3 linked regions of the Sus scrofa genome follow. The protein of the gene in region 3 binds, or shares a complex with, the protein of the main gene of each other region. Links are inferred from orthologs where the notes say so. Each region holds a gene or a part of one and is shown on either strand. Other genes may lie near its edges.

The links.
Region 1: INTS6 (region 3) and INTS12 share a complex: the UniProt entries of both Homo sapiens proteins name them as parts of the integrator complex. The link is inferred for Sus scrofa from reciprocal best matches to the Homo sapiens genes INTS6 and INTS12.
Region 2: INTS6 (region 3) and INTS9 share a complex: the UniProt entries of both Homo sapiens proteins name them as parts of the integrator complex. The link is inferred for Sus scrofa from reciprocal best matches to the Homo sapiens genes INTS6 and INTS9.

Annotation. Positions count from the first base shown.
Region 1 is NC_010450.4:116,044,197-116,055,206, reverse strand, and holds part of INTS12 (integrator complex subunit 12), read right to left. Parts: intron 7,506-11,010; coding exon 7,353-7,505; intron 5,463-7,352; coding exon 5,275-5,462; intron 3,527-5,274; coding exon 3,367-3,526; intron 1-3,366. UniProt on the Homo sapiens protein: Component of the integrator complex, a multiprotein complex that terminates RNA polymerase II (Pol II) transcription in the promoter-proximal region of genes.
Region 2 is NC_010456.5:12,576,445-12,587,454, reverse strand, and holds the end of INTS9 (integrator complex subunit 9), read left to right. Parts: intron 1-4,025; coding exon 4,026-4,124; intron 4,125-5,121; coding exon 5,122-5,259; intron 5,260-9,549; coding exon 9,550-9,726; 3' UTR 9,727-10,360; downstream 10,361-11,010. UniProt on the Homo sapiens protein: Component of the integrator complex, a multiprotein complex that terminates RNA polymerase II (Pol II) transcription in the promoter-proximal region of genes.
Region 3 is NC_010453.5:16,450,525-16,461,534, forward strand, and holds part of INTS6 (integrator complex subunit 6), read left to right. Parts: intron 1-509; coding exon 510-620; intron 621-1,594; coding exon 1,595-1,810; intron 1,811-4,559; coding exon 4,560-4,686; intron 4,687-6,030; coding exon 6,031-6,173; intron 6,174-6,387; coding exon 6,388-6,619; intron 6,620-11,004; coding exon 11,005-11,010. UniProt on the Homo sapiens protein: Component of the integrator complex, a multiprotein complex that terminates RNA polymerase II (Pol II) transcription in the promoter-proximal region of genes.

The sequences.
Region 1 (11,010 bases), on a different chromosome or scaffold from region 3:
GAGCAATAACCAATGCACATAGGAGAACCTCGATGAAGGCAATTATAACAAGAATGACTGGACTTAGCATCCCCACTATTTCCAAATTTATTTCTCTCACTAAACTTGTATATACTGGATCCTGATCTCCGAGCTCACTTCAGATCATGTCTTTTGGTATTTCTCTAGGTCCACTCTTGGTGCATTCCAATCGTGTTTTTTTTTTTTTTTTTCTTTTCATTTTTTTTATTACTCAAATGAATTTATCACATCTGTAGTTGTATAATGATCATAACAATCTGATTTCACAGGATCTAATCATGTTCTAATATTAGTCATGGCCCCCCATTCAGCACTGGACTCTCGGACACTGACTGAACTTAATAATTTCTGGTGCTAATCTACATTTCCTCCATTTTATGTATCTTAAAATGAGAACAATAGAATGTAGGATGTGTCCAGTCCTGAGCTCTGCTCTAATGCTTTGCCAGTGAGTGAGACTTGGTCTTTTTTTTTTTTTTTTTTTTTTTTTTCTTTTTTTTGGCTAACCCATGATTGCCTATGGAGTTCCCAGGCCAGGGATCAGATCCTATCCTAGCCACAGCTGCAACCTACACCAAGATGCAACAATGCCAGATCCTTAACCCTCTGTGCTGGGCTGGGGATCAAATCTGAGTCCCAACACTCCAGAGATGCCGCCAATCCTGTCATGCTATAGTGGGAACTCTGAGACTTGGTCTTAATGACGAATGAATTAGACATTTAATTTGCAAAGTTGATAAAGAAAAAAGGTATCCCAGATGAAGAGAAACTGAGAAGCAAGGCATATGGGAAAATGAAAGTTCACCATATACGCAAGGAATGAACCATTTGTCCGGCATGGCCATAGTATGTTGGTGTATACGGCGAAGTGGCAGGAGAGAAGGATACAAAGGTAAAGTAGGTCCAAGAGAGAAAGTCTATACATTCACCCTGGCAGGGATAACCTCATTATATCAGTAACTGAGAGCCACTGGTAAACTTGAACGATGAAGTTTGATAAATATTTTAGAAGAATATTCTAATTACAGTGAGTAAAGTGGACTGAAGGGAAGAAAGAGACCTCTTAAGCTAAAATAATAGACAAGAAATGAGGGATTTGTGGAACAGGGTAATAAAAGTGAAATGAAGATTTAAGAAATACATTAGAGATACAATTAACAAGTGCGGTAAACAAAGGGATATGGAATTAAGAGAGGCATCAAAGATAATGTTTTCTAGTTCAGGAAATAGGGGAAAAAAACTGAGTGGAGAAGAAAATAATTTTAATTTAAAAAATGTTGCACTTAAGGACTTCCCTGGTGGCCTAGCAGTAAGGATTCAGCAGTGTCACTGCCATAGCTCAGGTTCAATCCCTGTCCTAGGAACTTTTGCATGCTGTGGATTATTATAGTAACAATAATAAAAATTAAATTAAAAAAATAAATAAAAATATTAAACTTAAAGTAACTGTAGGATATCTGTTCTGCTGCCAAAATCCACTCCAGAGAGGGTTAGAACTATAAAAAGGGGAGTTCCTGTCATTGCCCAGCCGAAACGAATCTGACTGTCCATGAGGATGCAGTTTGGTCCCTGGCCTTGCTCAGTGGGTTAAGAATCTGGCATTGCCATAAACTGTGGTATAGGTCGCAGATGCGACTCAGATCTGGCATTGCTGCGGCTGAGGTGTAGGCCAGTGGTTACAGCTCTGATTCGACCCCTAGCCTGGGAACCGCCAGGGTGTGGCCCTAAAAAGACAAAAAAAAAAAAAAAAAAAAACTATAGATATACATTTGGTGTAAACTAAGTCACAAAATATAAGGGAGGGAAAACTTAGGAAAGAACAGTACTTACTTTATTAACAGAGTTACAGTTAAATAATAATAGACTTTGAAGTTATACTGAAGAAAAGACAGATAAATGCTACAAATTATTTATCCTGACTTAATTCTTAGTGACTACTTGTGTCGATGCATTGGAATGCACTATATTGTTTACCCACAAACACTCTGATGACATCCTGGAGAGCTAGTTTTATTACTTAAACTAAATAAAAATTAGACTGAGCAGAAAAAAAATATACCTTGTCATAAAATTTCCTGTTACAAACAGAAAGTATAAATACTACTGAAATTTTACAACTTTTCATAGGAATAAAGACATAATCTAATTCTGATTTAAGGGATTAAAAATACAGTAGATATCTTTGTTGTTGTTGTTTTTTACTTTAAGAACTTCTGACTTTAAAAAGGTACATTTGGTCAGAAAAATTTTATGTAGAAATTCATTTGGTTATCAGATACGAGAACTTTTCTATCAGGAGTCCCTAATCTAATGCAGGGGGAATGGTGGTGGGAGAGGCAAGCAAGTCACTGAAGTAAATAACAACTTGACTTTTTAACAATGTTCATCTACCTATTTTTTAAATGAATAAAAGTTAGAAAATTATCCAATATAACAAATGAAAACATGTTCAGTATGATATCAAAGGCAGTTAAGTTTGTCAACAGGCAACTGAGGTAGTACTCTGGAAAATAGGATAAATGGTCACTTGAAGACAATAAGAAGGAAAGACTGAGAAGCAAATAAAGAAACCCAGAAGGAAAGACAGAGATGCAATACAAATACTACCTCTGTACACAGTTTGTATGTTTGGTGATTTATGCTCACTCAGGAATAGGCATTTCCAATATTTCATTACCAGACTCACCAAAGACTGGGGCTTTGTATCTCACCACTTCCCACAGTGCTTTGCATTATTATTATTATCATTAATATTATCATTATTATTATTATTATTTGTCTTTTTGCATTTTGAGGGCCGCTCCTGTGGCATATGGAGGTTCCCAGGCTAGGGGTCTAATAGGAGCTGTATCCACCGGCCTACACCACAGCCACAACAACACGGGATCCGAGCTGCGTCTGCGACCTAGACCACAGCTCGCGGCAACGCCGGATCCTTAACCCACTGAATGAGGCCAGGGACCGAACCTGCAACCTCATTGTTTCTAGTCATATTCGTTAACCACTGAGCCACGATGGGAACTCCTGCATTATTTTTTTTTAAATGTTTACAAATACACTGACATACTACTAAGGAATGTTTATATTTTGTGGGTCTTCGATCCTGTTTGTTTATACCAGAAAGCGCTAAAGATAAATAGAAAAAAATACATACATGTGGTCTGGCCCATTTAGGCAAATCTACATAAATCACACATACTATGGTACATACACAAACATTTACATAATCGGCTTACATGATTTATTTTTATCAGTAGTATAAATGTCCAATTTTTATTTTAAAAAGCACATATCAACAAAAAAACTTCACAGAGATTGTTTAAGATGGAGAAAAATGATTCCTACCATTCTCTTCATTTGTCTGGTACATCGGGCACAATACCACACAAGGCGAGGGTCGTTCACTTCCTTGTCTGTCACCTGGGGCTTGTGGCAATCTTGATGGTAGAGATTATGGCATTCCTGACATTCTACTAATTGATTACCTGATGCCACTGTCATTTGCCTAAGAGAATACACCATTAAACAATACATTTATTTGAATGCAACAATTTAAAGCCATTTTAAGGTTGTTCTGGTAAAGTTTGATATACTAAAGAGGGTAAAATCCCCTGAAAACCAAAGAGCAAAATAACAAACCCCAACATATAGCCTGTACAAACACTGTTTCTTTTAAAGGTTTTTTTTCACCATTAAGAAATACATGAAGTGACTTATTGACTAAATCTGGCTCTATTCACCTTGTCATTTCTCATCGCAATTTTTTTTCTTTCTCCTAGAAGGTAGTAGACTTTGGCTAGTCCTCCAACAGTCTCATAACATCTTTGTACTTGTACCTCTATTAAATTCCTTTATATATATTGCCTACATATTTTTCTATCTTCTTCATTACTATATGAGTTACCTAAAGGTGGCAACTGTACCTAATAGTCTATAGAGCCTAGCACATTATTGTGTAGACATAGGTTGTTCAATAAATAAATGTCTTATCAACTGAATAGAATGTAGCAATATGTGTATCAAAAAAGTATAAATTCCAACAGCAATAGCCTTAGGCTAGAATAAGAAGTCTCCTGATGGAGGGCTACAATTACTAGTTCTTTCCCTCTTATTACTTTACCATTTATTTCTTTATATAAAAATGATAACCCTTATGGTAAATAAAGGTTGAGAAAAATACATGTGAAAATAATGAAGCTCTAGCAATATGATCCCATTCAGAAGTACATTAACTGATTCTCTAAAGGTTCACAAAAGTTTATAGATATAGGCTTAGTCCCAGTGCACCAGAGTTTAACATTTTCATGAAGAAAATACCAATAAAGGTGGCTATCTTTTCTGCTGTGCTAAAGCAATGAAAGCCATTAACAATTAAAAATATAGCTCCTGGCATCAAGTTGCTTAAAAATCTAATTATCCTGAATTTTAAAATGCCTCTTTTACTAAGCAGAATTATCTGTGCTTTTATAATTATGTATCCATGTTTTAAAACACACTCAAAATAACCTACATGATCCAATCATTTGTTTCCATTATCCTTAGGAAAATATTTAATAGTATTTGAGAAAATGATACATAACTTTTTACTTTATAAATACTATCAACACTTTAGGAAAAAAAAAAGAAACATTGTCTTTTTTTTTTTTTTTTTTGTCTTTTTAGCTATTTCTTGGGCTGCTCCCGTGGCACATGGAGGTTCCCAGGCCAGGGGTCCAATCTGAGCTGCAGCCACCGGCCTACGCCAGAGCCACAGCAACGCGGGATCTGAGCCGCGTCTGCAACCCACACCATAGCTCACAGCAACAACGGATCATTAACCCCCTGAGCAAGGGCAGGGACCGAACCCGAAACCTCATGGTTCCTAGTCAGATTTGTTAACCACTGCACCACGACGGGAACTCCAGAAACATAGTCTTCTTAAAAAGAAAGATGGAAATAATTAAATCTGCTGAACAGGCTCTTCCTCACTGAAGAATAAAGCAATAATTGCTTTCCCTCTAGAACCCAAGAATGCAGAAAGTGTTACTACAGCATAACTGACCAAAGATGCCAATGTCAGGAAGATAAAATATTGAAAATTTTCAAGACAAACTGTCATATGGGCAGTTCATGGGGAATAATCTCCTTATCTTCTACCCACCTCTAAATAATAAAAACAAAGTAAAAACGCCCAACAATTCATCTCATTTTTCTTTTGAGAGATGTTTGCTCTTTGCAAATAAATAAAATAATCTGTGGCAAGGTATAACTTACCTACAAACAACACAGGCCAATCCCATCTCCATGGCAAAATCATCAGCACTCGTCTCCTCAAAGCTGGAAAGGTCAGCTATAGCCAAATCCTTGCTGGTTTGGACAGTAATGGGAGAAGACCGTGTCTCTGGCTTCTCCAATCTTGGTTTCTTTGGAATATCAGCTCCTTCAGTGACATCTGATTTCATCTATTAAAAAATCACACTAGAATAAATTTTAAATCACAGAGAGATGGGATAAAACAGACAGTGTGCAATGACCAAGTCTACTCATCAGATATATTCACAGTTAGACCTGTCGAAGATGGACAATAAAATCACAATCAGTATGTTAAAAGAAACCAATAAGGTGGAACAGTTTAACATGGACCTGTATTTCTCTTTGTAGTCTTTTATCCATTAAAGAATCCTGGAAGTTCAGGAATTTACTTATACTGTCTTTGACTACCTCCCCCAAACCCCCCACCATTCGATACTTTGAATTGAGAAGCCACAGCACAATTAAGGCTATTTTTGTTTTAAGTATTTTAAATTATGAACTACTGACATTTAAAATACATTGAAAAGAAGTAAATAAATAATGAACTTCTATCAGTCATCCAGGCCTAACACATCTCCATATTTGCTTAAAAGCAAATTCTGTCTCCTCTCTTTAAGACATAAATATTATGGATATACCTGTCAGATTGGCAAAAGTTAAAAGTCTGATAAGACATGGAGAATTCTGAATTCAGACAAAAAAAAAAGAGTTCCCGCTGTGGCACAATGGAAACGAATCCGACTAGAAACCATGAGGTTGCAGGTTCAATCCCTGGCCTCACTTGGTGGGTTAAGGATCTGACATAGCCGTGAACTGTGGTGTAGGTTGCAGATGTAGCTCGGATCTGGCATTGCTGTGGCTGTGGCATAGGCTGGCAGCTACAGCTCCGATTAGACCCTAGGAACCTCCATATGCCGCTGGTGTGGCCCTAAAAAGACAAAAAAAAAAAAAAAAAAAAAAAAAAAAAAAAAAAAAAAAAAAAAAAAAAAAAAAGAGAATTTTGAATTCTTATACTTTATCAGTGAGAGTATAAACTTATAATCCACTTATGCCTAATGATGTTGAAGATATACCTATCTTATTACATCCACTTATAGGTATACATCCTATAGAAATTATCACCATGTGCAAAAAAGCTCACTGATGCTCCATTGTAACAGAGAAAAAGAATAAGCTAATTGCCTATCAGTTGGGGAGTGGATAAACTAATTTATACATAGGATGAATATTACATGGTAGTTGAAAGAAACATTCAGATCTGTAAGTGTCAACACAGGTAAATATTAAAAGGACATTTTTTTTTTTCTTTTGTCTTTTTGTTGTGGTTGTCTATTTTGCTGGATATATTCCAGGTAGTTGAATGAGCTGTAGACCGTACGCAACACAGCAACGGATTGTTAAACAAGTAAAAAAAAAAAAAAAAAATTTTAAAGCGAGAAAAAAAAAAGAAAAAGTTGTCAAACGATATGTATGTACAGCATTTATACAAATTTAAAAACACAAAAAATTATACCATATAGTTTATGAATAGCCAATATTTAGAAAAAGTACTAAAATATTCCAGGCCAGAGGTTACTAAGGTTTCTCTAAAAACATTTTTTAAATATAAGTGCAAAAATCCTAATAATTAATTATGTGAGGAAATCATTCAAAATAGACAATCCATGAGTTATCTATACCCCTGTTAAGGTACAGGCCATTCTGTAACAAATTTCATATTTAGTCATTTACACCTTTATTCGTTCCTCGCTATCTTTTCTTTTCAACAACTGTTCCACTCGGAACATTTGAGTTGTAAGATTACACATAAAATTAGTACATCCTCTAGGGCTTAAATGTTGTTGACAATGACTTCAGTAAGTGGTTTAAAAATGTTTCTAAATTTTTAATTTTTCAAAAAACCAACACCTATAATTATCAAAACATATTTACTGATTATATACTTTTATCCACTATTACATACAAAGAGAGCAAAATATTTTTCTGCCAATAAACAACTGATTGACTGATTGATTTACTAGAGTAAAATAAAATCTTACTTTATCAGCAGGTCTCTTTTCACCTTCCTTCTTTACCTTTTCAGTTGTAAGGACCTTGCCATTATTATTGCCAGAAGGAAGACTGGATGTTGTTTTGGGCTCTTGCTTAACAGACACAGTTTTTGTGCTTGAAATTTTGGGTGGCTCCATATCCTATAAGTGAAATTAAAAAGATATCCATAGTGAAATATTCAGATTATTCAATATATTGTTAAAACAAAACAAGAAACAAACAACAACAAAAAAGCCAGATCATAAATCTAAGCAATTTTCAGTTAAAAATTAAGACATCATGTTGTGACCAATGTATTGTCCTTTTCTTTAAACAACTGATATAACCATACTTGTGAACCTGGGATGAATCCCACTTGGTCGTGGTGTATGATCTTTGTTATACGTTGTTGGATTCGGTTGGCTAAAATTTCATTGAAAATTTTTGTGTCTATCTTCATCAGAGATATTGGCCTATAGTTTTCTTTTTTGGTGGTATCTTTGTCTGGTTTGGATATTAGGGTGATGGTGGCATCACAGAATGTCTTTGGGAGTGTTCTTCTTCAACCTTTTGGAAAAATTTAAGGAGGATGGGTATGTTCCTCTTTGTGTTTGGTAGAATTCACTTGTGAAGCCATCTGGTCCTGGACTTTTATTTGTAGGGAGTGTTTTTATTACATATTCAATTTCATTTCTAGTGATCGGTCTGTTCAGTTGATCTATTTCTTCTTGATTCAGTTTCGGCAGGCTGTAAGTCTCTAGAAAGTTTCCATTTCTTCTAGGGTGTCAAATTTGTTGGCATACAATTGTTCATAGAATTCTCTTGTGGTTTTTTGTATTTCTGCAGTATCCATTGTGACTTCACCTTTTTCATTTCTTATTTTGTTTATCTGGGTTTTTTCTCTCCTCTTCTTGGTGAGTCTGGCCAGAGGTTTGTTAATTTTGTTTACCTTTTCAAAGAACCAGCTCTTGGTTTTATTGATTTTTTTCTACTGTTTTTTGAATCTCTATTTTAATGATTTCCTCTCTGATCTTTATGATTTCCTTCCTTCTGCTGACTTTAGGTTTCATTTGTTCTTCTTTTTCTAATTCATTTAGGTGATGGGTTAGGTTGTCGATTTGAGATTTTTCTTCTTTTTTGAGGAAAGCCTGTATTGCTATGAATTCCCAGGTTCACAAGGATGGTTCAACATATGCAAATCAATTAACATCATATACCACATTAACAAAAGAAAAATAAAAAACCACATGATCATCTCAATAGATGCAGAAAAAACATCAAAGTCCAACATTCATTCATGATAAAAACTCTTACCAAAGTGGGTATAGTGGGAACATACTTTAACATAATAAAAGCCATTTATGACAAATGCACAGCCTATATAATAATCAATGGAGAAAAAGCTGAAAGCCTTCCCGCTAAAATCTGAAACAAGACAAGGATGCCCACTCTCACCACTTTTATTCAACATAGTACTGGAAGCCCTAGCCACAGCAATCAGACAAACAAAAGAAATAAGAGGTATCTAAATTGGAAGAGAAGAGGTAAAATTGTCACTGTATGCAGATGACATGATACTATACACAGAAAACCCTAAGGACTCAAACCAAAAACTACTCGAACTGATCAACAAATGCAGCAAAATAGCAGGATATCAGATTAACACTCAGAAATCACTCACATTTCCATATACTAACAATGAAATATTAGAAAAGAAATAAAAAAATACCTTTTAAAATTGCACCCCAAAAAACCAAATACCAGGGAATGAACCTGACCAAGGAGACAAAAGATTATATGCTGAGAACTGTAAAACATTAATCAAGGAAATTAAAGAGGATGCAAAGAAATGGAAAGATATTCCATGCTCCTGGGTTGGAAAAATTAATATTGTAAAAATGGCCATACTACCCAAAGCAATCTACAGATTCAATGCAATCCCTAACAAATTAACAAAATTACCTGCGACACTTTTCACAGAACTAGAGTAAACAATCCAAAAACTAATATGGAACCACAAAAAACCGAGAATTACCAAAGCGATCCTGAGAAACAAAAACCAAGCTGGAGGCATAACTCTCCCAGACTTCAGGCAATACTGCAAAGCCACAGTCATCTAGACAGTGTGGTACTGGTACCAAAACAGATATACAGACCAAAGGAACAGAATAGAGAACCCAGAAATAAACCCAGACACCTATGGTCAATTAATCTTCGACAAAGGAGGCAATAACATAAAATGGGAAAAAGAAAGTCTTTTCAGCAAGAATTGCTGGGAAACCTGGACAGCTGCATGTTAATCAATGAAACTGGAACACACCCTCACACCATGCACCAAAATAAACTCAAAATGGCTGAAAGACTTAAATATAAGATAAGACACCACCAAACTCCTGGAAGAGAACATAGGCAAAACATTCTCTGACATCAACCTTACAAATGTTTTCTCAGGTCAGTCTCCCAAAGCATCAGAAATAAAAGCAAAAATAAACCAATGGGAACTAATCAAACTGACAAGCTTTTGCACACAAAAGGAAACCATAAAAAAACCCAAAAAGACAACTTACAGAATGGGAGAAAATAGTTTCAAATGATACAACTAACAAGGGCTTAATCTCTAAAATATACAAACAACTTATACAACTCAACAGCAAAAAAGCCAAAAACCCAACTGAAAAATGGGCAAAAGACCTGAACAGACATTTCTTCAAGGAAGATATTCAAATTGCCAACAACCACATGAAAAAATGCTCAACATCACTGATTATTAGAGAGATGCAAATCAAAACTACCATGAGATACCACCTCACACCAGTCAGAATGGCCATCATTAATAAATCCACAAATAGCGAATGGTGGAGAGGGTGTGGAGAAAAGGGAACCCTCCTGCACTGTTGGTGGGAATGTAAATTGGTACAACCACTATGGAAAACAGTGTGGAGGTACCTTGGAAAACCACACAAAGAATTACCATAATACTCAGCAACCCTACTTTTGGGCATATAACTAGACAAAACTTTCCTCGAAAAAGACACATGCATCCGCATGTTTATTGCAGCACTATTCACAATAGCCAAGACATGAAAACAACTGAATGTCCATCAACAGATGATTGGATTAAGAAGATGTGGTATCTATACACAATGGAATACTACTCAGCCATAAAAAAGAATGACATAATACCATTTGCAGCAACATGGATGGAACTAGACACTCTCATATTAAGTGAAGTAATTCAGAAAGAGAAAGACAAATACCGTATGATTTCACTTGCATCTGGAATCTAATAAATGGCACAAATGAACCTTTCCACAGAAAAGAAAATCATGGACATGGAGAACAGACTTGTGGTTGCCAAGAGGGAGGGGAAGGGACTGGGAATTTGGGGTTAATGGATGTAAACTATAGCCTTTGGAAGGATAAGCAATGGGATCCTGCTGTATAGCATTAGGAACTATGTCTGGTAACTTGTGATGGAGCATAATAATGTGAGAAAAAAGAATGTATACATGTATGTGTGACTGGGTCACCTTGCTATGCAGCAGAAAATTGACAGAACACTGTAAATCAGCTATAATGGAAAAAATAAAAATCATTATTAAAAAAAAAAACAACTGACATAAAAGCTGCATCTACTTAGAGTGTAAAATCTGCTAAGTTTCACTA
Region 2 (11,010 bases), on a different chromosome or scaffold from region 3:
CCTGACAGTCTGGTGGGGGAGCAAGGCCATGTGCCATGAACAGGGCCCCAGTGTCCAGTACATCCAGGCTTTTCCACAATTAACCTGAGGTATTTTTATTATTATTATTAAGAGCAATAGATAAAGGAGATCTAAATGAATTCCAATAACTAATTTAGATAAAATTGATTGAGCAGCATCAAACTAGCCAGATTTTTTTTTTCACTGCAAGCAGTTGTTTTTCATTAAGGCACATGTAAGTAGATAATCATTCACATTTTACACCCATTTTCATTTCACTCTTATTTCCTGGGGAAGGAGCTGGCACAGCACATGTACCCTCCTCAGCACACAGTGTGTGGCCGGATGGAGGGAGCCAGGCATGCTGCCTGTGAGTCCAGGCTGGAGAGATGAAGTAGGGAAAGTTATAAACATAATTTTTTTGTCTTTTTTGGGGGGGTGGGCACCGGAGGCATATGGAGGTTCCCAGGCTAGGGATTGAATCAGAGCTGCAGCCTTTGGCCTGTGCCACAGCCACAGCACCAGAGGATCCGAGCTATGTCTGCCATCTACACCAACAGCTCATGGCAGCGCCAGATCCTTAACCCACTGAGCAAGGCCAGGGATCAAACCCACATCCTCATGGATGCTAGTCAGATTTGTTTCCACTGAGCCATGACAGGAACTCCAGGATGATTTTTTTAAAGGGGCAGTCCAGGAGTTCCCCTGTGGCACAGCAGGTTAAGGATCCAGCATTGTCACTGTGGTGGCCTGGGTCACTGCTGTGGTGTGGGTTCTCTCCCTGGCCCAGGAACTTCCACATGCCGTGGGTGAGGCCAGTAAAATAAATAAATAAAGGGGCAGTCAAACCACATGTTAGGCAATAACCTGGTGGAAAGATCCGTACAGCTCCTTAGGCTGACTGCCTAATTCTTTAAAAGGAAAATATTCCTTTTTCTTTAGGGCTTGTGAGTACAGCAGCTCACACCCTGGTCTCTCAGCTCAGCACTTGATTTGATTTCTAGTAACAGCCCCTTCAGGAGAGAGGTGGCCAGGGCTGCCGGTGTCAGGAGTTTCCTCCTGGCGCTTAGTGCACCTGACAGCACTTAGCATGGAGCTGGCCTCTCCTCTGCTCTCCCCTGAGGCCACATCCTAGCAAGACCAAGAGAATAAAAATTCTTTCATCTCTAGGTTCCAGGTTATCCTTTCTCCATATTTCGCTGGCCCAGCTCCTTGCCTCCCTTATTTAATCATGCAGATCATGTTTATTGAGCCCTCACAATGGGCCAGGGCCTGTACTCCGCACTTTCCATGGATTATCTCACTCACGTTATGACACAGGTACACTTACTCCATTTGACCTGGTCTCACCAGGCAGTGAAGGAAGGGTCTTCTCCATCTCTGAAGAAGCCTCAGGTGATCACCACTGTATTTCTTCCCCAAAGGTCATAGCTAACGAATGATACAGATTTTGTCCTTGAAACTAAGTGAGAGTAGGGCCTCTGATTGATTTGTGCTAATGTGGCCCTCAGGCCCACGGCCCAGACATCGCAGTAGGGGTGCTCAGGGTAATCAGAACCGGCAAGCAGCATCCCAGAAACTTGTTATAGGTGCAAGTTCTCCAGGCCCACCTCAGTCCTACTGCATCAGACCTTCCAGGGGGAGGCCCAGCCGTCTGGGTATTAGCCAGCCCTCCAGCTAAAATCTGAGACCCACGCGTGTAAGAGACCTCTGTATATTCCACATGTGCCAGGTTTTAATAAAAAAGGCCAAAGGAAGACACAAACAGAAATGCTAGCCATCTACAGAGAAACAATCTGACTAATAAACTTCTGGCATTTCCCATGCCCAAGTTTATCCTCACCGTGATTAAATAGTCCATGTTAGCTTGTTCCCTCTTTATTTATTTTTATTTCATTTTTTTTTGTTTTGAGGGCCACACCCTCAGCATGTGGAAGTTCCCAGGCTAGGGGTCGAATCCAAGCTACAGCTGCCAGCCTACACCACAGCCACGACAATGCCAGATCAAAGCAGCATCTCTGACCTATACCACAGCTCACGGCAATACCAGATCTTTAACCCACTGATCGGGGCAGGGATCGAACCCGCATCCCCGTGGTTATTAGGTTCATTACTGCTAAGCCACAATGGGAACTCCTTATTCCCGTTTTAAATCAGCAACATAAAAGGTAAATCTTCCTCTGTTAAACCTGACACTGAGCCAGAGGAGCAAGAGATTGGCTTTGAGGGCTGCACAGCACCCTGTTCTGTCTTTCATGAAGCCCCTCCCTCAAGTACAGTAGGCGTAGAACCTCAGCCTTGACCCTGAGGCCTGCCCCACCCCCACCTGTGTGCCATTGTGGGTCCCTGGATACCTAGCTCTGTCATCCTGCAGGTTGGTCAGGACTCTTTTTTGACCAACTGTCCTCCTGAAACCTGCTGGATCTTTGAAATCATGGCTCTTTGCTATAGACTTCGGGTTGCTTAACCCATGAGGTTAATATTGCCTGTGCTGGGATTTTTTTGTTTTGTTGTAGTAATTTGGCATTGATAGTGGATTTTTTTGGTTGCTGCGGGTAGATGAAAGCAAGTTCTCCCTCCAAAAAGGGTCCAAGTTTTTGTTCTGTAATTTGTAGCATAGAAGTGGCACTAACCATCCCCACTTCTAGTTGTTATTATTATTATTTAATGTGTTTTTATTATTTTGCTTTTCATTTTCTTTGCATTTTGCTCATCTCAAAGTGAAAGACTCTGACACAGTGTCTTTGGATTCTTTTTTGTCTGGTATTTACAGTGGCTCTGGGCTTGAAGGCTTAGGTTCAGATTCCAGTCCTCTAAGCCAGCAGTCCTCAAATGTTTTGGTCTCAAGACTTCCGAAAAATGAGACCCCCAGGAGCGTTTGTGTGTGAGGGTTACATCTATTGATATTTGCTATGTTAAAAATTAAAGGCTTTTAAAAAATGTTTAATAGGAGTTCCCGTCGTGGCTCAGTGGTTAACAAATCCGACTAGGAACCATGAAGTTGCGGGTTCTATCCCTGCCCTTGCTCAGTGGGTTAAGGATCTGGCGTTGCTGTGAGTTGTGGTGTAAGTTGCAGACGAGGCTCGGATCCCGCGTTGCTGTGGTTCTGGCATAGGCTGGCGGCTACAGTTCCAATTGGACCCCTAGGCTGGGAACCTCCATATGCCGCGGGAGTGGCCCAAGAAAATGGCAAAAAGAAAAAAAAAAAAAAAAAACCAGAAAAAAAATTTAATAAAATTAAAACAATATAAGCCCATTAGATGTTAACATAACTAAAATATTTTTTATGAGAATCTTTCTTTAAAAAAAGATAAGATCACTGTTTGATTCTTGCAAATGCCTACTTGTGGAAGACAGCTGGATTTGGCTGTCTCCTTTTGCTTCCAGTCTGTTGTGATATACATGTTATGGAGCCTCTAGAAAATTCCAGTGAACACTCAGGAGAGAATGAAATTGAAAAAGCAAAAACATCTTATTAATGACAGCCGTATTGATCTCAGTGCCCTGAAAGAGCTTCAGAAGCCCCAGGGACCATGCACCACACTGAGAACCAGCGCTCTGGATAGTCTTCTTGCCTGACCTGGGTGACTCTGCGGAGAGTCTCAGCCAGTCTCCAGGAAAAGCACTGCAAGAATTATTGCACTTCGTTTGCTTCCTCTTCTGAGCCCATTTACCTGCTGCCACAGTCCCATCTTTTCTCGTCTGCCCCTCTCTCACCTCCTGTCTTCATTGCAATTGAGTGTGTGTAAGATGTATTTTTTATTAAAAATTAGAGGTTTTTTTACCTTCTTAAACTTATTTGGTCATTTTAGATTGCAATGGTGTAAGTAAAAATTCAAAAGAAGAAAAAGTGAATAAATAGTAATCATTAAAAGTTCCGCTTTATCTGGTAGCTTTCCCACCAGGCTGGCCGGGGCACATGGTGTGCTGACCCTGGGCTATCACCATCCGTCTCCGAGCTGTGCATTTCCCCTTCCCCCCACTTCACACTGAGCCTGACTTAAACCCCTCTGTTTGCCCCACAGCTCGCAGACTCTCTGGTGCCCATGGAGATTAAGCCTGGCATTTCCTTGGCCACCGTCTCAGCCGTGCTGCACACTAAAGATAACAAGCACGTTCTTCAGGTATCGTAGGGAAGGGTGGGTGGGGCTAACGGGGAACCATTCCTCCCAAGAAGGTGCTAACATTCCAGCCAGCCCCCAGGACAGTGCCTCCCACACCACCAGATACTGGAGACCAGACTACCTGAGGGATTTGATTTGAAATGGAGAGAGCACTGCATATCAGTTCTCCACACCTTACGTGGGAGATAGAAGCCAAGAGAAATGATTGTTCATGGAGATGGGACCACGCATCATCCCAAGTGTGGTCCACAGCTCTGAGGGCACCAGCATCACCAGCTGCCCACGTGCTCTCAGCAAGCTCCCATAGGCACCACCCTGAGCCTGCAAGGTTGGGGTAGGGATGGGGGCCCCACAGCAGACGCAGTCCCTGCTCCTGCCCACAGGGGCCTGGAAGGCAGCAGACTGGGGCAGGTGGCCTGAGGCTGGGCAGCTGGAGGGCTCCGCACCTCACTTCATGGCCCATGTGCCACCTTGAGGGGCAGCTCTTTGAGACCTCGTCGCTCTCATCATGTGCTGACAGCAGCCACTGACATCATACCGTACCCTGAGCTGGGTCCTACATGCATTTAGTTAATCCTCACAAAATTTTCTTCATCATCATCATCTTATGGGCTATTTCTCTGCCCTTCATTTTCTTGAGGGAGAGACTATAACCAACCAGGCTGGCCCCATAGCCAGCATCCTGCTGCTGTGCTGCTCCACCTACTGCCACCAACGTGGTTTATTAAGACTTTACTCAGTCCTGAATTGAACTGATTTAAAATTTAAAATGGATCTTGATAAAGGGAAGATGTCTTTGCCAAAGGAGTTGATTCTCCAGGTGTGGTTGGCTTCAACTTGTTTGGGAATCCGGCTGGGGGTGACCCTGAGCACAGATGCCTGCCAAGTATTTCCACCACCTGGAGGGGGTCCTGCTTGGGATAGATTATCGGGTGGCCTGCACTAATCTCTGCAGCTCATGGGTGGAGTTCTTGATTCCTGCTTTCCTCCTGCCCAGCCCCCACCCAGGCCTGCCCAGCCCGTAGGCGGCAAGAAGAGAAAGCGGGCAAGTGAGGAAGTCCCCGACTGCAAGGTTGTGAAGCCTTTGCTGAGTGGCTCCATCCCTGTGGAACAGTTTGTGCAGACCCTGGAGAAGGTGAGTGCGTGTGCTGGGGCCGTCCTGCTCCGCTCACGGTGGCTGCTGCTTGTTATTAGTCCCCACTGCCTGAGCTGCTGCCCCTGGAGTATCTGCTTGGTCCTCGGTCATGGCAGAGATAGAGGAGAGCGTGCCCTCTCCATGGTGCCCTGGTCGTTCCCCTGCTGGCCCTTCCTCCCCCTGCAATACCCATCTGTGGGGAGACACCCCCACCCGACCCTGCTTCCTGTGGGAATAAACTAAAGAAAGGTCTTTCTCTGAAAATGTAGCTGGGACATATTGGGGGGGGCAGGTGGAGGCCAGTAGGAAGAAGGATCTACCCCCTGTGGACCCCTTCTCTTCCATGAGAACACCCCTTGCTATCAGAGCCAGCATGGCCACCTCACAGGAGAGGCGTGTCCAGGCTGAGTGTCAAGACTAGGGGTGGGCGTGTTGCCAGTGTGAGCAGAGGGCATCAGCATCACTGGATCCCCAGGAGCTTGGAATGCAGGGCCAGCCATTCCCAGGCAGGGTGGGAGGAGAGAAGAGCAGGCGGGCATTTTAGGGGATGGTCGTCCCTCCCCTGGCTCAGCAGCCATGCCACCCCTTGTCCCTGATGGCTGCTCCTTCCAAGGAAGAGATTTACTGGCTACAGTTAAAAAGAAAAAAAAAAATTCATCTGAAAGGATTTTTAAATTCTGGCTTCAGTCACAGGACTTCAGAGATTACTGTTGTTTTGGCATCAGAATTAAAGATTCCTTGATAGGAGGAGGAATTAGCTAAAGTTAATATTATTCATGCTGCTTCTTATAAGAACTACTACTAACTCTAGTAAATAATTCCAGGAAAGAGATATTCTTCTAAGGTACTGCCTATGTCCAAACTAAATATCTCAGTTGCCGAGTTCTTTGCTTCAACTAACTTTGGGTTTTGTTTGTTCTTCTTTCTCTAGTTGCTTTAAGTGTAAGGTTAGGTTTGAGATTTTTCTTGTTTCCTGAGATAAGATTGTATTGTTATAAACTTCCCTCTTATAACTGCTTTTGCTGCATCCCATAAGGTTTGTATCCTCATGTTTTTATTTTCATCTGTCTCTGGCATTTTTGTTATTTCCTCTTTGATTTCTTCAGTGATCCATTGCTTGCTTGATAGCATATTGTTTAGCCTCCACATATTTGTCTTTTTTTGCAGTTTTTTTCTGATAGTTGATTTCTAGTCTTCTAGCATTGTGGTCAGAAAAGGGTCTTAATGTATTCTTAAATTTATCAAGGCTTGCTTTGTAGCCCAGCATGTGATCAGTCCTGGAGAATGTTTCATGTGCGCTTGAGAAGAATGTGTATCTGGCTGCTTTTGGATGGAATGTTCTATAAATATCAATTAAGTCCATCTGGTATGATGTGTCATTTAAGGCCTGAGTTTCCTTATTGATTTTCTGTCTGGATGATGTGTCCATTGCTGTAAGTGAGGTGTTAAAGTCTCCCACTCTTACTGTGTTACTTTCTATATTGATTCTCCGTTCATGGCTGTTAGCAGTTGCCTTATGTATTGAGGTGCTCCTATGTTGGGTGCATATGCATTTACAATTGTTATATCTTCTACTTGAATTGATCCTTTGATCAGTATTGTGTCCTTCTTTGTCTTGTAACTAACATTCTTTATTTTAAAGTCTATTTTGGAGTTCCCATTTTGGTTCAGTAGGTTAAGAACCTGAATAGTATCCATGAGGATGTGGGTTCGATCCCTGGCCTTGCTAGTGGGTTAAAGATCTGGCATTGCTACAAGCTGTGTGGGTCGCAGATTTGGCTTGGATCCTATGTTGCTGCAGCTGTGTTGTATGCTGGCAGCTGTAGCTCCAATTTGACCCCTAGCCCCAAGAACTTTCATATGTCTCAGGTGAGGCCCTAAAAATAAAAAAAGTCTATTTGGTCTGATAAGAGTATTGCTACTCCAGCTTTCTTTTGATTTCTATTTTCATGGTATACCTTTTTCTATCCTCTCATTTTCAGTATGTTCCCTAGAACTGAAGTGGGTCTTTTGTTTTTGTATCCATTTAGCCAGTCTCTGTCTTGTGATTGGAGCATTTAATCCATTTGCATGTAAGGTACTTATTGATATTTTTGTTCTTACTGCCATTTTGTTCATTGTTTTAGATTTATTATTGTAGGTCTTTTTTCTTCCCTTCCTCTTTGGTTTTCTTTTCTTGTGGTTTGATGCCTCTCTTTAGTGTTCTGTTTAGATTGCTTTTTCTTATTTGTGTATTATTTATTTTAGATTTTTGGTTTGCAGTTACCATGAGGTTTTTGGTTGTTTATTTTTCTGTGAATTTTATTACGTTTATAGTTGTAAAACTACCTTGATGTTTCAGTGTAGCAGTCTATACAAGATTGTTTTAAGTTGCTGATCTCTTAATTTCAAATGCTTTTCTAATATCCTGTAATCATACTCTCCTCATGATTGCTGGTTTTGATGTCATATTTGTGTATGGATGATTTCCTACCTTTATGCTATGTTTGCCTTTACCAGTGGGCCTTCTCATTTGTAATTTTCTTATTTCTAGTTCTGGACTTTTCTGCCTAGAGAAGTTCCTTTTCTTTGTCTTTAATTTTGGTTCATTTAATTTTGGGGTGTGACTAGAGGCAGCTGTTTGCCTAGGACAACTTTAGGCAACCTGTCTGCTGATGGGTGGAGCTGTGTTTCCTATCCTGTTGGTTGTTCAGCCTGAGGCTTCTCAGCACTGGAGCCTTCTGGCTGTTGGATGGGGTCAGGTGTTTCCAAATGACAGCCTCCCAGGGAGCTCACACCAATGATTATTCCCTGGGGCCTCCATCTCCAGTGACCTACCCCCACAGTGAGCCAGAGCCACCCTCTGCCTCCCCAGGAGACCCTCTAAGACCCACACTTAGGCTTGGCCCAGGCTCCTGCTTTGCCCTGGGACCTGGTACATCTGAAAGCTTGTGTGCTCCCATAGTCCTATGGGGTTTCTACACTCAATGCCAGACCACCAGGCTGGGGAATTTGGCACAGGGTTTGAAACTTTCAGTCCTGTGGGAGAACCTCTGCAATATGGTTATTTTCCAGCTTCTGGGTCACTCACCCAGCAGGTATGAGATTTCCTTATATCTTGAAAGCACCCCTCCTACTCTTGTTGGGCTTCTTTTTCTTTGGGTGTAGAATATCTTTTTTGGCAGTTTCCAGTCTTTTTTTGTTTATGGTTGGTCAGCATTTAGTTGTGATTTTGGTGTGTTCGTGAAAGGAGGTGAGTTCAGGTCATTCTACCCTGCCGTCTTGTCTTTAATCCTGCATTTTTTCAAATATTAAGGGCTCTCCCTCTATTGGGAATTTTCTATGCTAATGATTTCATTGTCTCTGAAGGGAGGGTTCCCCCTGAGTTGTGTGGCTCTCCTGGGCCCTAATAACATGGGGACACCCTGTGGGAATTACCTTGGAAACCCCGTCTGCCATGAACATACTGGTACCTGCTTCCTCATGACTGAGCAGTGCTCCGGCCCTGCTGATAGGACTCACACTTGACTTTTCTTGAAAACTTGAAGCAGCTTGCTTTCCCAGAAAGGCTTTGTTTAGTTGTTCTGCCTGGTATGCCCAGGAATTGACCCCTGGGACCTGACTGACTGACTCCTCTGACCATTCTGCCCCATCGCTTCCTGCAGGAGGAGTATCTGTGCCTGCCCCAAAGTATGTGTGAGTTTTATAGAACCAAGTGCGTTTTTACCTCTTGTGTCCTTTTCAGGCAAATCAGTCTTCTTTCCCTTCTTTCTCAACTTTACGTTTGATACACAAGAACACTGAGTTAGCATTGGAGGTGGCACTAGAGAAGGTGACACTGTCTCTGCTCCCTTGGGAGGGATTTGCCAGATCACAGCGTCAGTGGCATCCTGCTGTGAGGAATGACATTTTCCCGGGACAGGATAGAGCTTTTCAACCTGGGACCTCAGTGGTACAGGAGTTGGTGTGGAATAGCCCAGCACCCCAGCCTCCTGAACCCAGGTCTTGGATGTGTTTCTCAAGTAACTCACAAAAGCTTAAGCAGATTGTAGGAATTCTGCTGTTTCTGCATGAGATTTTGCATGTTTAGGGGCTTTAATTTGAATTCCGTTACTGAAGTAGGTCCTGTACTAGTCTGAAGATTTATACTGAGGAGTATCCCAAATTCCTCAATTCCTTGAATGTTCAGTTTAGCCAAATCAAGGAAGTGTCATTTTTAGAACGTGGTTGCTGAAATATCCTCCTGCCTTTCAGTCAGCCCCTTACTTGTCAGAGCACCCACCATCCTCGTGTCCTTTTCTTTTGGAGCAGCATGGCTTCAGTGATATTAAGGTGGAAGATACAGCCAAGGGCCATATCGTCCTGCTCCAGGAAGCTGAGACACTCATCCAGATTGAGGAAGATTCGACCCACATCATCTGTGACAATGATGAGATGCTCCGGGTACGACTGAGGGACCTTGTCCTCAAATTCCTACAGAAGTTCTAAGGGGCACACCTCGACCATCTCCCCGTCCCCGAGCCCTGCAGTCCTTCACTCTGGCTGCCCCGTGCCCGGCTAAGGGGGCCCTACTGCAAGGCTGGTCTCTGGGGTGGTTTCCCTGGCGTGAGAAATAAAGCAGCAGCCCTGGAGGGACGTTCTCAGGAGGTACAGCCAGACTCTCCTGTCCAGCTTCCTCACACTGATGCAGGTGAGAGCTTTCCCCCTGTCAACCTCAGACTCGTTTTCCTCCCGAGCCTAGCCCTCTTGGGTGCCAGCTGGGAAGACAGTGAGCTGGAGCAGCATGAGAGAGGCAGCTGCTTTCCAAGAGGCCAGGGTTGGAAGGGGAGGTAAATAGATGATGATTTGTGGCCTATTTTTCATGCTTTCACAGGCCTCAGTTGAGGGAACTAATCTTTGATTTTTGTTTTATTTACTTGTCTACAGTGCTGTACCTAGTCAGAAAGACGATCCCAAAATTAGTAGGAACCCATCTATTTGTATTTTATAATGTGAGCCCATTGTTAATAAAACTTATTTTGTATAGAAGTATGTATTTTCTGTGTTCTGTTGAACTTTGAACTTATGTATTCATTTGGTATCTGAAAAATATTAAAATATATAGAACTAAGAGAACAGCAAATTTTAGTTTGGTGTGTGCATTAATATATTTCTTAAATTGTACAAACGGTGCTTTACCTTTGCTGTGTCTACTATGTAAAGAACACCAACACTGACTACTAACACCAACTGTGACCTTCTGAATAAGGGCTTGAACCAGCAGCTCAGGCTCCACTCACTCACCTTCAGTCCTCCAACCCAGCCAGCAAGCAGAACACCACAAAGGGCTATAGTGACCTAAGAACTACGCCACTATCGGAACTACTTGCTCAGGTTTTATGGCGAGTTGATTGGCACTTCTCTCTTTAGAACGGACAGAATCAGTGGGAAGCAGTTGTCATTAGAGGCGGGAAAAAGGCAACTTCACTTTTGCTGTGTCCAGCTCTTCCACCCTGGGGCACAGGATGCTTCAACAGGTCTCTCCTTCCCAAGGTATAGGCCGTTCCACTCAAGGGGCCTAGGATCTGTCTACAGAGTAAACTGTGGGAGAGGATTAACAGTACAAGCGATTGATGTGTTGTGGCTATGAAAATTTAGTTTTGTTTTTAGGAGGAGAATCGTAAATACGCAGCACATGCAGGCATACTTCCTAATAAAACTCCTGAGAGAAATCAAGTTAGATTTCTCAAAGTTTTTTAACATCTTGGAAAATGCAAAAGCAGTGAAAATAGA
Region 3 (11,010 bases):
ATATCTACTGAATACTTAACTGTGTGCCAGATGTATTTAATCCCATGACAAACTTATGAGATAGAAACTAGTATTATCTTACAAATGAGAAACTTAAGGCACTTGAGCCAGGATCACTGAGCTAGTGAGGGGTCTAGCCACAGCCCTTCCAGTTAGCCAAGGTAGAAATCGTCTATTTTCCTTGACTCTTTTTCACTTATCAAATCTACCTCTGCACTGTGTCTCCTGCCTGTTTCTTCCCAACTTAGTGTTTCCAATGATACTAAGAAGTCCAAGACTTCACCCTTCCTTGCTCTGGGTGTTATTTTTATAGCCTCTAATCTTTGTTGACTATTTCAGACTGGCTTTCATAACTCACATTTTGCTGAAATACAGATAAGATTATGTGACTCTCTTATTGAAGAAAAGAAGGAGACATTCTTGGGGCAAAATTTTCAAAATCGACAATACATGTAGCTGTAAATTTTCGACAAGCTTAGGATTGAGTGGTGTTTTCTTTTTCCCTACAGCCTTTGAAGAAAGCTGTTAGAATGATGGGAGCACCTAACCTAATAGCAGACAGTATGGAATATGGACTTAGTTACAGTGTCATTTCATACCTCAAAAAACTGAGTCAGCAGGTAATGTTAAGAAATAGAGCCATTAAGTATTTTGAATGGTTTTGGCTAAGGTGTTTTATAGGCCAGATGTTAGTTCTTGATGGTTCTAATTCCATCATATTAATGTAGTACATTTTAAAACCACATCACATATTATATAATAACATAATTCCATTTCAAGTACATAGTATGCCATGTTTTGAAATGTCAGTTTCAAATAATAATTCCTAGTTTGTACAAATGGCTTTATTAATGTGTCCTAGCCTTCCTGTACATGAAGAGTCTTCATGTTTTCTTTTGGGAAATTTATGTTAGAAAGTTGTCAAAAAAATCAGTTTCTTTTGCTTTAGATTTTAAAATCTATAGTTTATTCTTTCAAAATGGGAATTTCAAATTTCTTTTGAAATGTTTGTAAAAATAATGAATTTTGTCATTTTGAGCATAAATCACATTAACAGTTACTGTAGTATTCAAGCAGTATTCAGTTTGACTGCTGTTACTGAAATTGTATAAAATACAATTTTTCTAGTACTACTGAAATGTAGGTTGGAGTCAAAATATTGCTATTTGCTTTTTAGTGAAAAACTTCATCTCTATTTGCCATATCTTTGAGCATTTAGTTATATGTTGGCTATAATGTAAGTAAACATTGATGAAATTTTCTTTTTCTAATTTTACATGGTCTCTGAATTGGAAAGGATACGTTTACATTTCATGATTTAGGGGTAGTGGATATTAATAAATAAAATAAATTGAAGTTGTATTTGTATGTCCTGCCCCAAAAGGTAAGAATTGTGATCATTTAAAATCCTAAGACATTATAAACTATGTTAAGTTTACCAAGAACTGAAAATAAACTACAGTACTAAGTAGAGCTTTAAATTTCCTGTGTTCTTTTTAAATGTAGGGAATAATTTATAGAAGACCAAAACTATTAGCATTTAATTTACCACTTTAGATTATGTCAAGACAACTTTTGTTTATTTTTGCTTTAGGCCAAAATAGAATCTGATCGAGTCATCGGTTCTGTAGGCAAAAAAGTAGTACAGGAAACTGGAATTAAAGTCCGAAGCCGATCACATGGTTTATCAATGGCTTATAGGAAAGATTTTCAACAGCTGCTCCAGGGAATTTCAGAGGATGTTCCTCACAGACTGCTAGACCTTAATATGAAAGAATACACTGGGTTCCAAGTTGCTTTGCTTAATAAGGTAATGGTTATAGGAATTTAGTACTGCTCTAGTTACATTGTTATATTGTTTTAATACATCCAATTTTCTGTTCACTGATGCTCAGTTTGTCCAAACTTCTATACCTCTGCAGAAAAATGATCAATTATACTCTTACTGAATCATTGAATTTTAGAGTTCAACACTGTACCTGGTGAGTGGATAAGTGGACTGGCAAAGAGCAAACCATCCCATTCATTTTATAGATGAGAAGACAGGCTGAAAGTCACATAGCTAAGGGTAGGGTTCGCTGTAGTTTGGTACTTACACTGCTGACCTTGGGAGCACAGCATGATTCTGAAACGCTTTGTGAATAATCATTATTAAAAAGGTCCTCATCCCAGTGGTTGTTTTGTAGAAACAGGGTGATTCTAAAATTTATATGTAAGTGTAAAGGTCTTAGAATAGCCAAAACAATTTTGGAAGAGAAAGTTGCAACACTTGCACTATGTACTTTTAAAAGTTTCTGTAAAGCTTCAGTGATCAGTATGTTGTATTGTTGGCATAGGGATAAGTATACAGGTCAGTAGAAGCAGACCCTCACATGTACAGTCAGTTTTTAATAAAGATGCCAAAATAATTCAGTGGGTGAAGAGACAGCCGTTTTAACTGATAGTGCAGGAACAACTGGATATCCATATTTATAAACTTTTGCCTCACATTACTTGAGATGATCATGGTCATAACTAAACCTATAAACTTCTACAAGGAAACAGGATAAATTGTTTAATATGTTGGATCATGGGTCAGTGAAGATTTCTAAAATGTAACACAAAAGCACACACACACAAATGCATACAAATTTGATAGACTGAATTGGGTTTTTGTCTTTTTTTTTTTTTTTTTTTGTCTTTTTTTTTGTCGTTTTTGTCTTTTGTTGTTGTTGCTATTTCTTGGGCCGCTCCCGTGGCATATGGAGGTTCCCAGGCTAGGGGTCGAATCGGAGCTGTAGCCACCAGCCTACGCCAGAGCCACAGCAACACAGGATCCGAGCCGCGTCTGCAACCTACACCACAGCTCACGGCAACGCCGGATCGTTAACCCACTGAGCAAGGGCAGGGACCGAACCCGCAACCTCATGGTTCCTAGTCGGATTTGTTAACCACTGCGCCACGACGGGAACTCCGGTTTTTGTCTTTTTTAGGGCCACTCCTGTGGCATATGGAAGTTCCCAAGTTTGGGGTCGAATTGGACCTGTAGCTGCCTTAACCTATACCACACCCACAGCAACATGGGATCCAAGCCACGTCTGCTGCCTACACCACAGCTCATGGCAACATCGGATCCCTAACCCACTGAGTGAGGCCAGGGACTGAATCTGTGTCCTCATGGATACTAGTCGGGTTCGTTACTGCTGAGCCACGACAGGAACTCCATGAACTTTGTTAAAAATGAACATTTTTGTTTTCAGAAGAAACTTTGAAGTTTCTCCTAGGCAAGCTACAGCCTGGGAGAAAAGCATATATTGAATAAAGGACTTGTATCAAAATATATAAAGAACTCATAGAACTCAAAACAAATATGCAGTTGAAAAATGCACAACATAAGGAGTCTCCTTGTGGTGCAGCAGGTTGAGGATCTGATGCTGTCACTGCTGTGGTGTGGGTTCGATCCCTGACCTGGGAACTTCTGCATGTCATGGTCGTGGCCAAAAGATAAATAAAATACATTTTTCAAATGGACAAAATATCTGAACAGACACCTCACCAAATAAGCTATACAAACTCAACATGAAAAGAGGTTCAACCTTATTAGCCACTGAGGAAATGTAAATTAAAACTATATGATCACATTTCATTCCCACCTAAATGGCTAAGATTTAAAATTGAAAAATATTAAGTATTGGTAAGGATGTAGAACAACTGAAACGCTCATATATTGTTGATGGAAAATAGTTTGCAGTTTCTTAAGAAAGGTAAATATTGCTATATGACCAACAGTTCTAGTTGTAGGTTTCCCCTGAGATAAATGAAAGTATGTATATAAAGGTTTTGTATGTAAATGTCATAGAAGCATTATTTGTAATAGCCCCAAACTGTAAACAATCTAAGTGTTCTTCAACAGGTGAATGAATAAAGTTATAGTATATCCATGTAATGGAATACTACTCTGCAATAAAAAAGGAATAGACTCGCAGTACCTTAACAATATTGTTGAATCCTAAGAACATGCTTAATAAAAGAAGCCAGATAGGAAAGATTTCATATTGCAAGATTCCACTTATAAAATAGAACATAGACAGCAGATTAGTGGTTGCTTACAGTAGGAATTAACTACAAATGGGCACAAGGAACTTTCTAGGATGATGGAGGTGTCTTAAAACTGGATCATAATGATGGTTTCACAACTATACATTTACTAACACTCATCAAGTTGTGTATATAAAATGGGTAGTTTTATGTTATGTAAACAATACATCAAAGGATTTTTTTAATAAAAACCTTCATACTCTTTAAAATTTGGAAATCATTTTCTAAGATATTTACTTCTCTTAGCCAGAATATATAATAAAATCTTGGACAGATGTGAATTTGAGATTATTTGGTTGAATCTCACTACCAATTTTGTATTTTTAGGTTCTTAAGATTGCATCATATCTCTTTATTCTAATTTTAAGCTAATTAGTTAACTTGTATATCATATTTCCAAAGCTGTGTTGCAGGCTAGAGATTTTAGTTTCTCTTAATTCTATGTTTCAAAGTAAATTTTGTCTTTGAATCTTTTTTAACAGGATTTGAAACCACAGACATTTAGAAATGCATATGACATACCAAGACGGAATCTTCTGGATCACTTAACAAGAATGAGATCTAATCTTTTGAAGAGCACCCGTAGATTTCTTAAAGGACAGGATGAAGGTTAGATTATCGTTTTAATATTGGTATTTCTTTACTAAACTTCTTTCTTTATATTGAAAACACATAGAATGCTGCTGTAACTTTTAAAGAATTATTACAGTAGTATTACATAATCATTGAATGAAGTAAAAAGTGACTCATCCCTCATTCTCTGCATTTCTTACTGCCGTCACTGTTGTGCCCAATTCTGTTCCCCAGAAGTAACAATCTTTGTTAACAGCTTAGTTTCCTTTTTGGCTTTCTTTATACATTCACACATATAGGCACAGACACAAACAACATCGTTTTCTTGTGATGTACTAATATCCGATAATTTAACTCTAAATGGCCAAAATATGTCATATTCTGGTATTTTCTTCTACTCTGCCCATGGCAGCTACTACGAATCAAGTCAGGTGGGAACTTAACCCTTTGCCCACTCTGATATAAGCATTTCAACTAAGCGTTCTATAAAAAGGGTAATCTACATCATTTTCCTGTAAATTATGCTATAATTATTTGGAATAGAGTAGAAGAGACACTCCTTTTCATGGAAATGTTAAACATATTGCTTGTTCTATACAGTGAAATTTGTTTTGTTTAGAAGATAATTAAGTTTTATTTTTAAAAATCTCTAGATTCTGTCACAATATTTATAATGGCAACAAACTAATGTAGGCCATGTGGTAAGGGAGGACTGCCCCCAGTAACTCCGGGGAGCAGTCATACATCAGGAGACACTATTTTTTTTCTTTTTTCTTTTTTTTTTTTTAAGATTTTAATTTTTTTTCATTATGGCTGGTTTATAGTGTTCTGTCAATTTTCTACTGTACAGCAAGGTGACCCAGTCACACATGCATGTATATATTCTTTTTTCTCACATTATCATGCTCCATCATAAGTGATTAGATACAGTTCCCAGTGCTATACAGCAGGATCTCATTGCTTATCCATTCCAAAGGCAATAGTTTGCATCTATTAACCCCAAATTCCCAGTCCCTCCCACTCCCTCTTCCTACCCCTTGGCAACCACAAGTCTGTTCTCCAAGTCCATGATTTTCTCTGTGGAAAGGTTCATTTGTGCCATAATTAGATGCCAGGTATAAGTGATATCATATGGTATTTGGCTGACTTACTTCACTTAGTATGAGAGTCTCTAGTTCCATCCATGTTGCTGCAGATGGAATTATTTTGTTCTTTTTTATGGCTGAGTAATTTTCCATTGTGTATATATACCACATCTTAATCCATTCATCTGTCGATGGACATTTAGGTTGTTTTCATGAGAAGATATTATTCGATAACCACATGGAAGGTAGTTTTAGTGAGGTTAACTTTTGTTGTTGCTCTATTCTGTTTGAAAAGATCAAGTGCACAGTGTTCCTATAGCACAAATGGGGAATTACCAGGAATACCTCAAGCAAGTACCTTCTCCACTAAGAGAACTTGATCCTGATCAGCCTCGAAGGTTGCATACATTTGGCAACCCCTTTAAGCTGGATAAAAAGGTAAATTTGGAATGTTATTTATATAATTTATTTGTGCTAGGCACTGTGAATTTAACAGTTCTTAATCTAACTCAAGTAAGCTGAAGCTATTTTCCTGGTAGAATACCTAATGTCACATAGTTAAAATATAGTTATTTTAATGGTAATTGGAATTATTTGTGCCATTTAAAAACTGTATGTAAAGACAGGGAAATTATATTCTTTCTTGTTATAGGGAATGATGATAGATGAGGCAGATGAATTTGTGGCTGGACCTCAGAATAAACATAAACGACCTGGAGAACCAAATATGCAAGGCATCCCTAAAAGACGCCGCTGTATGTCTCCACTACTGAGAGGCAGACAGCAGAATCCCGTTGTGAACAATCATATTGGAGGAAAAGGGCCACCTGTACCTATGACTCAAGCACAGCCAGATCTTATTAAACCCCTTCCTCTTCATAAAGGTAAGAGTTTGTCCTTAACATTATTTGTTGTTTTTTGATTCTTCACGGAAGAGATTTTTGTAATATATTACGGAAAAAAATCGATGAAGTCCAAGAGAAGATACTTGTTTATTCTAAATTAGCATGTAAGCATTTCTCTATATCTTTTAAATGAACGGTTATTGAACATTTCGTGCTTATTATGTTTAACAGTTATCATGATCTAAAATATCATTTGCAAATCTTAAATATTTAAAAACTACAGTTTTCTAAAGGGGTGTTATCAATACCCACAGAAAGATGGTTTTCAATTTCAGTTTAATTCAACCACTAATTTTTAAATGATACGGTTTTGTTTGTTTATGGCCACACCTGTGGCATATGGAAGTTCCTGGGCTAGGGGTCAAATTGGAACTGAAACTGAGGCCTAGGCCACAGTCGTGGCAATACCAGATCTGAGCCGCATCTGTGACCTACACCACAGCTCGTGGCAAGGCTCAGATCCTGAGCATGGCCGGGGATCAAACCCACATCCTCAGGGGAGACAGTGTCGGATCCTTGTGCTGCTGAGCCACAATGGGAACTCCATGATATGCTATTTTCGACAGTGCGAAGCACTGAGTTATAGTGGTAAACAAGACAGTGATCACTGTGCGCATTTATAATGAGTGAGGAAGGAAAGTCATCGAACATTTCACTGGAAGTATGATGAATGTTACAGAAGGGAAGTCTGGTATGTTGGGAAACATTTAGCAAGTGGATTTAACATAGTCTATGGGCACTTAGCTGAGGAAGTTATGTTTAAGCGACCACTTGAAGGATGAATGGGAATTAGTTAATAACTAAAGCTGTGCATTCGCCTGTGCTACAGTAGTCGTCTAAGAAGAATCTGTGCAAAGGCATACAGTAAAGAGCAGGACATTAGGGGAGCTGAAAGAATTCTAACACATTAGGGGTTAGGATGAGGTAAGGTGAGAACTGAAATACACATGCAGAGTCCAGATCATAGAGGGCCTTGGAAGCCACTGTAAAGATTCTAGACTTTATTCTAAGGACAAGGAAAATCCATTGAAAGGTTTTAAAGAGGTAATGATCTGATCTGATTAGCATTTTATAAAGACCAGGCTGGCCTTATTGTGGGCAAGAATGAGAATTGATATAGGAAACTCTTAATTAATGGATTTGTTAATTGCAGGTGGTGATCTTTCATGGCTAATAATGTCTTAACTGGAAGGAAATTAATATTATACCTCTTGATGGAATTATACAGTATTACTTTTAAAGTCATCTTGCTCTCCTCTTCCCAACACACGCACACACACACAAACTGACCATCAATCTAATCAAGCCTCTGTTAAGTACCAATTTTTAGGAAATATAAGGGACAGAGAAACATGTTAAATTACAAAACAGATATAATTAGCAAAATCCAGATTGCGGGAAACTATAGGACAAAGACTTTGGTGTGTGTGTGTGTGTTTCCAGAAAAAAAAAAAGTGCATGGAAAAAAAGAGGTACAGAAGGATTTTATAGATTAAAACATATAAATCAATTGCAGTGTGTTTATGGTCTGATTTGGACCCTGAACTTTCCACAGACACAGAAAATGTGGCAATTGGAGATTGTGGGCAGTGATTGGGTATTTGATACTATTAATTAATTGTTAGGGATGCACAGGCAACAGTTGGGAAACACAAGGAAGAGCTAATGGTGACCTGGAAGTGGGTTGTGCGAAGAATGTTTAAGAAATACTTGGACACATCAGCAAAGGAGTTGGTGATGACTGATTGGATGTTGGAGTCAGGGCAGGGGAGCAGTGGAGAGACAGTGGGTATTTGAGTGTGCTAGGGATGGAGTGGAAGAAGAGGTGTTGAATGAGTTTAGTTTAGAAATATCTATTAGATAGCCAAGTGGAGATCCTCAGTTAGAAGATGGATAGTTGAATTGGAACTCAGAGAAGAGAACTGGGCTGGAGAGATGGGTATGGGAGGCAGCCTTAAATCCCATTGAGTGACCTAGGGAAAGAGAAGAAAAAGCCTAGAATAGAACTTTGAAAGTAATGAAGTTTAAGAGGAGAAATAAGATTCAGAGAAAAAGGGAAGAATCCAGAAGACAATAGGGAAGAATTCAGTGTGGTGTGGAAGCTAAAAGGAAAGAGCATTGAGTAGTTGGTGGTCTCAGATGCTTCTTAAGCAGACCAGGAGGACTGAAGCGGGTCTGAAGGTCTTTAAGTTGACAGAGTTGAGTATGTTTAAATGCTGGTGTGATGGAATCAATGGGAGGGGGGCTGAAAATGAAGGTAAAAGAAAGTACAATCAGTGAGAAGGAGGAAGGGAATGGTTCAGAGCCCACATGAAGGACGTTTCTTCCATTAAAGCTGAGCAGGTGTGGTGGGCACAAGTGTAACGGTGGCAAGTTGAGGAGGTTCCCATTCTACAGCTTTTCTTTCCTCCTTGAAGTTGGAGGTGACTTAATGCTGAGAGGAAGGAGAGATTGGGAAAGTAAGAGATGTTACGTTAGGAGGAAGGAGAAGGTGCAAATGATTTTTGTGTGTGTGTGTGTGTGGTAGAGGAGCAAAGGTTGTAGTAAGAGGGCTAGGCAGTGCTAAGACCCAGGTCACGGACGGTGATTGTGACCACTCTGCAGAGCTGGCTCGTATTCTCCAGTAGTGCTTACCCATCATCCCACCTGCGAGTCTGGCGCAAGCAGATAGACTGCATCATCAAATCTGGGATTTTTCAAAACAAAAATTGGGGATTTTTGCCTGACAGGTGTCATGGGAAGACAATAGGATGAGAGAATCTGGGACACTGGTTAAAAAGTGATACATTATGGGATATAAGTTGGCTAGGTAAGAAAGTGGATATCTAGAAAGAATCTCATTAATATGAGGGGGAAAGTAGAGGAGTTGCTGGGAGTGAAAGTCTGGCTGAGTTCAAGAGCAGTAGGAGGAATACTGCCAAGATGAGGGTTACACACATCTCTGTCCTTGAATTTGTGTTTGACTTGAGAATCAAAGAGGTGGGTGGAAAAGTTCTTTGGAGACGAAAAGGTGAGGAATTGGGAGGCCAGGTTCTTGGCAGGTGATCTCCTTAGGTGTGGATGTCACACACTGCAGCACTTCTCAAGCTTTAATGTATATAGGAGTCTCGGAGGCAGGGGAGGGAGGTGGTCTAGTTAAACGACAGATTGTAATAAATTGTGTGGGGGAGGGCTTAAGGTGAGCACCTCTAGCCAGCTCTCTGCTGGTGCTAATGCTGCTTGCCTGTCCACAGACCACAATTTGAATACTAAGGACCCAGAATGATATCCCAAGGGATGAAGTCTGTGGACCAGGTGCCAGACACATCCCTGACCACAGGTGTGCCCTGGAGATCAGTAAAGATAGTGCTGAGCAGAGTGAGGATGGCTGGAGTGGGACAGCTAAATCCCAAAAGAGAAAAAGAGTTTTTGCAAGAGTGTATGGAGAAATGATCTTGAAGTGGCCCTGGGAGGTGAAAGAATCAGTGATTCCAATCCTTATTTTAAGTTCATTGAGAATGTTTGCGAGAAAGCAGTTTCTGTTTTTCAGATCTGAAAAAGAAAGTGCAGTATCTTTGCGGGAGAATTGGGTGTCAGTTAAAGCAGGAATTGCTATAGAGAATATTCAGTAAAGTTTGCAAATCATGGAACAGGATTTAGGAGGGAGAGGGAGTCTCCTGGGGTTCGAGGGGTTTTTATGGGGATGAGTTTACATTTTGGACAGTAAATGAGGAAAACAGAGATGAATTCAGCTGGGCTCCTGGAGGTTGGTAAGCAGTCAAAGAGTTTGGAATTAAGCTGATTTCTGTGGGGAGCAAGTTTAATAATCTAATATTAAGTGGCAAGCTTGCAAGCTTTTTAAGTATGGTCGTCTAGTGAGCTGAAGTGGGCACTGGCTCTTGTGCATTACGACTAGATGAATGGTTATAAGAAAAGGGGATGCTGCGGGACCACCTGTTTGGTTTGTGTTCACCTTTGCTTCTAAGTAGTAACTACATGAGGCAGAGGCAGGATGGAATGAACTAGTACTCTAACAAAAACTATATCCATGATAATCTTGATCACACATATTTCCCTAAAGCATCCAAACCTAATTTATTCAATAAAATTGAATAAAGTGAGAACTGAAAGTTATCTGAAATTAGCTTTTTTTTTTTTTTCCTAAGGGCAAGAGTTGTACAAATTTTATAAATGGTGTGAAAGTTTCACATTGAAACTCACCATATATTTGGCAAGGCTTAAGAACCATATCACATTATTTGTTAATTTGCATCAGGTCAAGGAGAGAGCATTTGTGAATTGCTGTAATATTGTTTCTTTGCACTTTTCTTTACTGTATGTCTGGAAATTGGCTCTCAATTTTTTCCCCTTATTTTTGTTTTTAGTTTCAG